3 linked regions of the Xenopus tropicalis genome follow. The protein of the gene in region 2 purifies or fractionates together with the protein of the main gene of each other region. This does not show direct contact. Links are inferred from orthologs where the notes say so. Each region holds a gene or a part of one and is shown on either strand. Other genes may lie near its edges. The genes, in order: park7, prdx5 and prdx2.

Region 1 (4,289 bases), on a different chromosome or scaffold from region 2:
TCAACAGCAGTTTCAACTAATAAAACACAACTGTATTTTTTGGTGTTGCAAAAAAATGTAATATTCCCAGAAGTCCACTGAAAGATGTTCCTGAAAGATCTTCTGCATTCTCTGAAAGTAATATCTAAGATCATAAATGAAGAGGCTTTACATCTAGCAGGTGGGTGAGTTTTTAAAGTGTCATGTACTGAAATAGACTTTGACCTTCAAACTGTCAGTTAAGCAGCCAAGCAGGGCTGAGCTGGACTGGCACTAAAAAGCAGCTCTGGCCGGCAAAGCACCCAGCCCATGCCTGCCTGTGCTGAAAGTGAGATTATAGCGGTAAAGAATTGCTGCTAGAATGAACATATGTATTCCACTAGCTATATTAGCTAGAATTATTCTTCATACATGCAAATAAAAACTAACAAGCTACAAGCATTTGATCAACACACTACACACTCTTATATCACAAGATCCACACATGATTAGACACAAAAATCCCAATGGCCTATTTATACAGAGAATCCGGTTACCCCAAATCATATTGCAAGTGGATAATGTATGTGCCTTTCACAGTCAGAAATGTTATAGAAAAAAAAAAAGTTAATTTTAGTTTTTTTAGGCAAAATGAAGGCATGTGGTTATCCTTCACGAGAGAAAACACAGTACAGTAAGCCAAAGTAGGAGTGTTTGCCCAACACACCTATGAATAATGAACGTATACCTTACCTGTGTTCGAGCCTCCTCCAGACTAGTGTCAGGGCACAGCACCACATCTCTGCTGCACAGAACCGGATCCTTTCCACTTAGACCTGCAATCGTTACCTTTATCTGGTAAATGGAAAAATGGCAACTGTAAATAAACTTTTCTTAACAAAACATGCAACATTCGACCTGCTCTCATGAATTGCATGCAACTGTGTGCATTGACACAAGGGATCCATGGGATTAAGAGAGCCTTGACCTGCCAGTAGCTCCAGGTTTCCATTAGTGGTTTGTGCCCACAGATTCAATTGACTTACACCAAGTATATCAGACAGGAAAGCCACTATTGATGGCATGTGAATTTGAAGACCTGGAAGTGATGCCAACTGTACATAGTAACTTAGGTGCAGTTTACCAAAACACATACTATTTTCCATCAATATTTAGTATATAAGTTGAATCAGACACTATTACGAAGTGTTGTTCTGATAAAAAGACTTCCTCAGGGGCACAAAGGAAGTCTGTACACTATAGGCTTATATGGACTTTGCTGTTGAGATGTTGATACTGCTGCTATTTATTTACGTGCAATATATTTAAATTAAAAAATTATACCATTGATATTATCCTATGGGAGCACGCTCCTCTCTTTTTCTTTTGATACTATTATGTGCCCACAATAATACAGGAATTCTGAATATTGTGGAGTCTGTACACAAATGCAGTAAATGGCACTGATCTCTAAATTGTCAACACATCAAAAAATGTGAAGAATGCCTACTCTACAGCTCACCTTACAGCCAATCAGCTGCAATGTTAATAAACAACACACTGCAATTTGTGTCTAAAATTTGCCCAATGGACTGACTTCTTGAGCATATGATTGCTGGAGGCAATGTCCACGAGCTTGTAGTTATTTTAGAAGGTAGTGCTGCCAGGGTTTCTGCCATTTGCATCCCTTTGTGCCCGGGTCATAGTAAATTACCCCTTTTTGAAAGTTGAAAGTTTTTCTGGACAGGGTCTTCTTTAAGTATTGTATAGGTTGTTGGTTGTAATTGTATATTTTCTTGTTTATTTAATGGATATACCCATTTGTTGTACAACACTGTGGAATATGTTGGTATTTTATTAATAGGTGATAATAAAAACACCACAGGTCACAAAGTTACATTACACACAAGTTGCACAGTGGTTTGTTACCACTAGAGGTCTCTGTAATCATTCCTTTTTACCTAAACTGCAGTTACCAGTACCCAAAGGGCAGGTCATTGCAACAGAAGAGATATATTGCCCTCCTCTGGATCAACTAACAGACAGGATTTAGGCATAAAAGGATGAACTTGATGGATGTGTGTCTTTTTTTCAACCTATGTTACTCTGTACATATATTCTCTTATTTTGCATTCCATGAAAGGTCTAGATTTTAAATCTTTACACTTAGTGTTAAATCACATACAGACATTCCAGGTAACAGGGTAATGTTAACAAACCTTTCAGAGAAAGGGTAACTGATCCTGCTTTGTTTTGTGGGAGAGACTCTGGTCTCTATATCTTCTATATTGCGTGCCAGCAGGTTAATCACATACAGTGGCAGGAGAAGCTGGCAGGACAAGTGCAGTCATTAAATCCAGACAAACTAAGTATCTTAAAGCCCATGTATGGGGCCAAAAGGAAGGCATGCCCACTGACTGAGACCCAGCACTGACTGCCAAGGTGCCTCCCAGTAGGACAGCACAGGTCCCAATTATGAGCTGATTTTGGCACTGGGGCCAAGCAATCCCTGCAGCAGATTTCGCCTAACAACTGAGTGGGCAAATGAGGCAAAGAATCAAACGTGCTTAATTCCCAGCTCAGGCCACAGACAGCAAGGGCTGGATTTCTCCAGGCAGACATAGGCAGTGTGACTGTTCAGCAGCAGTGCTTAGCCACTGATAGAGGGACCTGTTGCACAGTCACTAACTAATGGCAACCTGCGGCGGCTACTGAACTAGAACTTCCTGATGTTAGAAATCCGTATCCAGCCAATAGTTACAGTGCCAGCGCACCACACCTTCAGAGCTCAGTGTAACCACCCCTCCATGCCCAGCAAGCTGCACAGCCATACGGTCTCGCAAGCAGCTAGCAGCCATGTATTACTCACTCCTGCCCTTCTCATCACATCAGCGGGAATGACTGTCTCCATCTCCTCGGCCCCCTTGGCCAAAATCAATAGAGCCCTCTTGCCAGCCATACTCTCTTTCTCCGCTAGCTCACAAACTCCGCCTCCAGGGCCAGAGCGCACCAATATCTCACGTACAGCCCCACCCCCTGCATCAACTGACGGAAAGCCTCTTGTGTCAAACTCTGCTTAATTCAATTAAATGCGCAACGGGGGCTCTAACTGTACATTGTATTTTTTCCGGCTTCATAGCTTGAACTTTCACATTGCGGTTACAGTGGTGCTCGACAGGTTTCAAGCTTTGCTGGAATGCTGGGAGTCGTAGTCCCGACACACCATTTCCTGCCTCAGCGCGTCCCACAGGCACAGCTCGGTCACATGACCCATGGCGTCACCTTCTGTCTGTTCTGTGAGTGTGAGAGAAAGGGAATAATAGCGGCGACTGCAGGCGCATCTTGTTCCTGACCCAGAAGGCAATTCCATGCTATTGTGCGCTATCTGTGGGAGTAGGCTGAGAGAGAGACTGGCTATCTGACGGTAGGGACCCGGCCTCACTCACCCACGTTTAACGCACACATTCCCGGTACTAATATCATTCCTGTCATTGTGTGAGTAGCTTTATAATATGAGAGGCGCTTGTACCCACTCACACACCCACTTAGCTCAAGCCCTGCCGCCATCTGGGCCCCCAGTCCTAATGGGATCTCTAAGGGAAAGACATGTTGATACTACATACATTGTATTAACATGAGCCTTTGACACCTTAGGGAGGTTGGAGAGTTTTAGTTTAACAAGTTTTCCACTCAGTATTGCATTAAGGGACCTAGCTTCTCTGCATTCTCAGGGGCCCTTTGGTCTGTAAAGTCTATGCAGACCCATTGGGACTGGGCCCACATCACTTTATTGGTAAAGTCTTTGATTGACAGGATAGGCATTCAGGCAATAGTCCAGACTCCCCAACTGAGTTTGGGCATGTTTACTCTGCATGAGAAAATTGAGTTTGCTTGACAAGTGCTACTATGGTAAAATAAGTTGCTGTGTAGCCATGGGAGCAACAATCCAAGTTCTCATGGGGCTATAGGACACACCTTTACATAGCAGATAACTGATAAGCTGTATATGATACAGTGGGCATTCATGGCTCTCTATAGGGCTATAGAATGAACCTTATAATAGAACGCGCTGGATGAACTCATACAAACGTTAGGTGTACAGAATACATTTTTATGTAATTTAAACAGAAGTTTTGCTTTTAGGATAATCTAGGAAAGCAAATCTGTGCTTTTCGTAATTGTATCACAATACATTACTGATCGACAAGTGAACAGGTGAGCAAGAAACCAATGGGTTAACAGTGCTAATTGTAAAAGAGGCACCATTGTTTTAGGTACTGTATTAATAGATGTTTTCAGGTCAGGCTGCTCTGTAGCAAAGATGGGAGTGC
Region 2 (4,378 bases):
GCCTGTGTGTGCCATACTCTGCCTTCCCTACCCTGCCTGTGTGTGCCATACTCTGCCTTCCCTACTCTGCCTGTGTGTGCCATACTCTGCCTTCCCTATCCTGCCTGCGTGTGCCATACTTTCACTGTGTGTGCCATTCTTGGCTGGTTTGTGCCAAACTTGGCCTGTGTGTGCCATACTCTGCCTGCCCTACTCTTCCTGTGTGTGCCATACTCTGCCTTCCCTACCCTGCCTGTGTGTGCCATACTCTGCCTGCCCTACTCTTCCTGTGTGTGCCATACTCTGCCTTCCCTACCCTGCCTGTGTGTGCCATACTCTGCCTGCCCTACTCTTCCTGTGTGTGCCATACTCTGCCTTCCCTACCCTGCCTGTGTGCCATACTCTGCTTGCCCTATGCTGCCTGTGTGTATGGCACACACAGGCAGCATACAGTGACACAATGCTGGCAGTGCTCCTACAGTCTGCACAATAACTATATATTAAAAAACTTTTTAATTGCAGTACCACCTCAGTATATGTTCTTTTTGTAGTGTGCAGGGATTATTTGTGGGTTTCTACTCCTCCTGAGGTGTGAACAGGGGAACAATATGGGTGATTACAGCCTGAGCCTGAGGTGTGAACACTACAGGGGGTGAACAATGCAGAGATTAAAAGGTGTGAACAACACAGGGGATTACATATTTAAACAATACAGAGGGATTACAGCCTGAATCAGAGGTGAGAACCATGCAGGGGGGGCAGTTAATCTCAGTACTGATACCATTTAAAGCTTACACAAGAGTAAGCCATCAAAGCAGCCAGACAGGTGGGGGGCCGCACAGAGGGGGGTTGCGGGCCGCCAGTTGGACAGCACTGGTCTATGGGGTGGGGGGGATCATTTAGCCTCGGATTTTCTGGGGGGGGGGGGGGTATCACTGTGCCTTGGATTTTCTTTTGGCCTATGGGGTGGGGGGATCACTGTGCCTGTGATTGGCTGGGGGGGTATCACTGTGCTTCTCATTTTCTGTGGGTGTGTATTACTGTGCCTCTGTTTTTCTGTGGGTTATGGGGGGATATCAGTGTGCCTCTCGCTTCTCCTTCTTTTTCAGCACTGAGAACAAGGATCTACATGAAGCGGGTATTTCTGTGCCGATTAGTAGGATTATCTAGTAAAGTGCTGCTGGCTGCTGACACATTTGAAACACACGGAGGCAGAACGAGCAGCCAGAGAGCCGCAAGAGAAAGTCGGGCGGCAACAACAAAGCTCCCTATGCACAAACCTGCCATACTGCCTGGCGGAATGCAATTTGGGGGAAGAACAGAACAGGCGGGACGGCATTACACCCCAATTGCAGCACTACTAACATTAAAGAAATAGTGAATAGAAAAAGTGCTACGTTCTGCCGCGAAACAAACCCCCCGCGCATGCGTCGTCAAACCTTAAAGGTTAAGGGCTTTGTCCGTGCGCGCATGCGCGCTAGGAATTTTTAAAAAGTCCTTGCCTGCCCTATAGGGGCGGAATTGCCGTGTCCCATCGGCTCAGCCCACTTTGGTTGTCATGGCTCTTCGGCTCCCCGTCTCATTCCTCCTCCTGTCACCTCTGCGAGCGGTTGGAAGTTTCGTGAGCAGAACAAGAGCCATGTCTGTAAAGGTGCGTATGTAGCGAGTAGCGGCTTGTAGTGGGCAGGTATGTGCGCTGGCACAGTGTAACCGGCAGCAATGTCCTGTGTGCGGCAGAGATTTCTCTGTGTGGGTATTGGCTGGATTCCACATCTCATACTACTGGGCAGCCTGTCAAATACGAGTTAGATTATATAAACGTGTGTGCCCTCCTTCCCTGGCATGCTGTGGCTCCTGCTTTCACTCCTTACTGTTCTTGGGTATGTTATCTGCTTGCCCAGGTACAACTAATAGATAGTAAGCTCTGCAGTGCACTTGTTGTATAAAATAATGAAGGACTGGAGTTTAAGATATATATATATATATATATATATACACACACATACATACAACATGCTGAAAAGCCAAACTGCTGTCACCAGAATTCCCAGTGGGTTTCCACGTCTTTGTATATTGCAACAGGGGAATTACTCCTGGCAATGATTATTTTAGTCTGGTTACAGTATCGCAGCTCTGGGCTAAGATTCTAAATACTGCAGGCTCTGCCTTATCAAGTACACAGAGGCCCAGTAGCAAGTGAGTGTCTATGGCATTTTAAGCAGAGCCTACAGATTGCCAGTCCGGGCCTGCAATAAGATAATCCAAATTCCAAGCAAAATTAAGGGGAAACTCCACCCAAATGTTTATTCATTTTTTGCATAGTGAAAGGAAATGTGATTCCAAGCTGGGGGTCCCTGACCTTTTTCACCTGAGTTGGGGTGCAACACAAGCATGAAAAATTTACCTGGGGGTACCAAATAAGCACTATGATTGGCTATTCGGTAGCCACTATGTGGACTGGCAGAAAGCTTTGTTTTTATGCAACCAGAACTTGCCTCTAAAGGTGGCCATACACGTGGCGATCTGACGATGTTTCGTACGACCATCGGTCGCACGAAACATCGTAAGATCCGCCACACACCATTCAGGGCTGAATCGGCAGGTAAGGAGGTAGAAAAAATAGGATTTCTACCTCCTTATGCCGATTCAGATCTGAAGGGAGAATTTTGGTCAGGCGCCTTCTATGGCGCCCGATCAAAATTTTCCAACTGGTCCGATCAGCAGGTTCCTGCGATATCGGTCGACTCGCCGACATACCATACACGCACCGATTATCGTACGAAACGAGGTTTCGTACGATAATATCGGTGCGTGTATGGCCACCTTAAGCCAGAAATTCAAATATAAGCAGCTGCTATGAGGCCACTGGGAGCAACATCTAAGGGTTGGGGAGCAACATGTTTCTCCTGAGCCACGGGTTGGGGACCACGGTTATAAGCAATGTTCCAATATACATATAACAATGAATGCTTCAAAGTTATTGGTACCTTCTAAAGCAACAGAGCAGAGGCTGGATAATATACCCAGAGAACTGATTTCAAATATATTGTTTGCAGAGAATCAAAACAGAAAGGGATAAAAAAAAACTTTTAGTTTTTTCAGTAGCAGTGACATTTACACATAACTCTTAAACAACTGAAAATGTGTAATGACTGTGTATTGGAAAGTTGCCTAGAATGTTCTTTTATTGTTGGGTATGCGCTGAGGATTCACCCTTCCCCCAAAATCTGCTTTAGGTGGTTAATAAGTGAAACACCCTACTAATACACCCATGTCAGTTTGTGGGACTCTACCACACCAGATTTGTCCAAATACCGAACCAAAGCCAAACACTAATTTGCATATGTAATTAACAACATTTGGAAAAAAACACAGCATTCAAAAAATAATCATCAACCTTCATCTGTCACATTGTCTAAAGTCATGTGATGTTTAGGGTTTGGATTCAGTTCGGCCAGGAATAAGGAGTCTTCTAAATCTGAAAATGATCAGATCTGGTATTCAATACTTTCCTAATTTTTGTATTGCTTCATCAGTACATCAGCCCACCTTACACACAACACTCTGACCCTGCTGCAAATCCATTATTCTTATATCCACTATTCTTATGCTCACAGGCTTCCCTCTTTGCTCTCCCTGCATGGTGCCAGGTAACAGCACCCACCTGTCAGACTTCCCTGAACACCTGTTTGCTGCCGAGACATAGGCTAGTGTGATGTTGGTCTATATTCAATATATACTTTATTTGCAGGGGACATATATGTGCCCAAGGCTAGGAACATATAGTTGTTTCTTATAATTTTCAGATTAATATGTGTAGTATTATGATATTAGCATGAAATATCCATTACTCTGAATACATTCATTATTTAGGAGCAGTGATCCATCCTGTTAAAGCTGCTTGCCATTTGTATAAGTGTATTGTCACAGAAGGACTACTGTAATTGCATATACACTGAAAGAAAAATAAGCCGTGGCAACCTGATACTGCTAATTGTTACCCAAAGCTGGTAACTGTAATCTTATACATGTCGCAATGAGGAAGAGACACCTTAATAAATTCCAGTGTCGTGTAAAGGAAATTACTTACACAATGGATTTCGGTTGTGGGCAAATCCCTGAGACAACTTTGTACACTTCCTTGTTATAGACAATTAATATTTCATTGGGGTTTTTTTTTTATTCAATACTTGCAGGTTGGAGATCAACTTCCTAATGTGACGGTGTATGAGGGGGGGCCTGGGAACAAGGTCAGCATCAGAGATGTGTTTGCTAACAAGAAGGGGGTGCTGTTTGGTGTCCCGGGGGCGTTCACTCCTGGCTGCTCCAAGGTAAAGGAAGAGAAGCATGATCAGGGAAATGGCACTTATATTGTAGTGTCACCCACTGTGACCTACAG
Region 3 (2,539 bases), on a different chromosome or scaffold from region 2:
ACTGTGTTAGGGTTAATTGTTATGAGCTAAATACAATGCTATGTGCAGTATGAGGGCATTATAGTGCGATTTATTCAGGCCCGGACTGGCAATCTGTGGGTTCAGGCAAATGCCAGAGGGGCTGCTGTAAGGTGCCATAGTCACTCACCATTTATTGGGCCTATGGGGGGGGCTGTTTGGGCCTCTGTGTACTGAAAATCAGGCCCGGACTGGCAATCTGTGGGTTCAGGCAAATGCCAGAGGGGCTGCTGTAAGGTGCCATAGACACTCACTATTTATTGGGCCTATGGGGGGGGGGGCTGTTTGGGCCTCTGTGTACTGAAAATCAGGCCCGGACTGGCAATCTGTGGGTTCAGGCAAATGCCAGAGGGGCTGCTGTAAGGAGCCATAGACACTCACTATTTATTGGGCCTTTGGGGGGGCTGTTTGGGCCTCTGTGTACTTGGAATGCCAGGGCCTATTTTGAAGTCCAGATGCAGGCCTGGGGGAAGGGGGGTAATATTTAAGTGATTAGAAAGACTAATATCAAATTGCAACTTCATAGTAATCTATGGGAAACATGCCTGAAGCAGCCCTGGCGGGGGGGGGGGGGGGTCTCAGGAAGACCTCTCCTTATGGGTACCACTTACAAGATGCAACCACTGTGGTTTCCTGCCTAATTACAGTTAAAGGGGAACTCCACCCAAACACAACTTGAGCTTTTCGAAACTTAAGCCATTCTAAGTAACTCTGCAATATACATCAATTAAAAATATGCAGCCTTCATGATTTGTAATGTAATAGGGTTTGGAACAGTTCCCTAAGCCCCGCCCCCTGTTGATCTGACTGACTGCTTTGAGACTCAAATTAAATGTAAAAGTCGCCTGTCTGCAGCCAGTATTCCTTCCAATCCCACAATCCCCTGCATGTGATGTCAATAAGGAAAGATCACAGTGCAGTGCATTGTGGGTTATGTAGTTCCTGCATGCTGTAAGCTGCTGAGAAGTTATTACAATTTGTAACATTAATGTTTTAGTCCCTCCTCCCCTGCCAGGATTTCAAATGATGTAGAAAGAACCATTTTGCAGCTGGATTTCAGCATATAAAAATGGTATTGATTCATACTTTCTGAAGGAACAGATTACAGCAATAGGTATATTAGGGGTTTCTGTATTGTGTGGGGCTCTAACAAATTTTGGTTCAGAAGTCAGAGTTCCCCTTTAAGGCCATTAGCCTAACTTGGATGCTGGGGGAAGCATGAATATGGCTGAATAGTGCAGCTAAAGGTCTGTCACTGATAAGTCAGTAAAATGAGAGAAGCAACGGAACACTGCACCCTCCACCCAGGAGATAAGCCGGGAGTGGCAGCACTTACCACGCGAGGTGGGTGAACTGGGAATCGACGGAGACGGCAATCAGCTGGCAGTTGATCTTACTGAAGTCTCCAGCATGGTCACTGAAGGCAATGATCTCCGTGGGGCAGACAAAGGTAAAGTCCAATGGGTAAAAAAACAAAACCACGTATTTACCTGCCAAGGGGAAAAAAGTTGCCAATAATGATTGGGCTACACACTGCCACCTCCAACAGCCTGCTTGTGACTGGGAGCAGATCTGTGCAACTTTAAATAGGCTTTGAACACATGCAGTAGTACAGCGCACACCTATTAATCACTTTCCAGCAATAAACACATTGGGGGTGCAGCAGTGCTCCATGCACCTTACCTAAATAGTCTGACAACTGGATGTCTTTAAACTCCCCATTGACCACAGCAGTGGCCTTAAAAGCTGGGGCCGGCTGGCCAATGTGAGTCTTCACTGCTGTAAGAAAAAAAAAAAAAAAAAGTTCAACCACAGCCAAACATTGCTGGGCAACATTTCATTTTCTCCATTATTTAGGTGAAGTTCCCCTTTAAAACCCTGGGAAGCCGTGTTAACCTCATACACCCTAATAGGGGATACGTTACAGCATTGTGCAATGTCCAAAAATCAGAAGCATCTCTAATTAAAAAGATGTGGCACATGGCAACAACAGCAGCAACACAGCCCCTGACCCACCATCTGATACATACAATGGGCAGTGTTATTGCCAATAGCCTTGAGCAGAAGAGACTCAAATGTATCTTATAGCTGGCAAATAACCTGCCTATGTGGCTAATAGGGCAGAAAGAGGAAAGGCATTAGCCTGGGAAGCAGATACAGGTATGGGATCCCTTATCCGGAAACCAGTTATCCAGAAAGCCTGTCTCCCATAGACTCCATTTTCATCAAATTATTCAGATTTTTAAAATTAATTTATTTTTTCTCTGTAATAATAAAACAGTACCTGTACTTGATCCCAACTAAGATATAATTACCCCTTATTGGGGGCAGAACAGCCCTATTGGGTTTATTTAATGGTTAAATGATTCCCTTTTCTCTGTAATAATAAAACAGTACCTGTACTTGATCCCAACTAAGATATAATTACCCCTTATTGGGGGCAGAACAGCCCTATTGGGTTTATTTAATGGTTAAATGATTCCCTTTTCTCTGTAATAATAAAACAGTACCTGTACTTGAT

Evidence for each region.
Region 1: the proteins of prdx5 (region 2) and park7 fractionate together in Homo sapiens (co-fractionation; 3 studies listed by BioGRID). This does not show direct contact. The link is inferred for Xenopus tropicalis from reciprocal best matches to the Homo sapiens genes PRDX5 and PARK7.
Region 3: the proteins of prdx5 (region 2) and prdx2 fractionate together in Homo sapiens (co-fractionation; 3 studies listed by BioGRID). This does not show direct contact. The link is inferred for Xenopus tropicalis from reciprocal best matches to the Homo sapiens genes PRDX5 and PRDX2.

What each region holds. Positions count from the first base shown.
Region 1 is NC_030683.2:96,565,074-96,569,362, forward strand, and holds the start of park7 (protein deglycase DJ-1), read right to left. Parts: upstream 2,928-4,289; 5' UTR 2,918-2,927; coding exon 2,828-2,917; intron 814-2,827; coding exon 712-813; intron 1-711. UniProt on the Homo sapiens protein: Multifunctional protein with controversial molecular function which plays an important role in cell protection against oxidative stress and cell death acting as oxidative stress sensor and redox-sensitive chaperone and protease.
Region 2 is NC_030680.2:34,742,932-34,747,309, reverse strand, and holds the start of prdx5 (peroxiredoxin-5, mitochondrial), read left to right. Parts: upstream 1-1,543; 5' UTR 1,544-1,618; coding exon 1,619-1,630; intron 1,631-4,175; coding exon 4,176-4,310; intron 4,311-4,378. UniProt on the Homo sapiens protein: Thiol-specific peroxidase that catalyzes the reduction of hydrogen peroxide and organic hydroperoxides to water and alcohols, respectively.
Region 3 is NC_030679.2:140,338,116-140,340,654, reverse strand, and holds part of prdx2 (peroxiredoxin-2), read right to left. Parts: intron 1,798-2,539; coding exon 1,702-1,797; intron 1,509-1,701; coding exon 1,355-1,508; intron 1-1,354.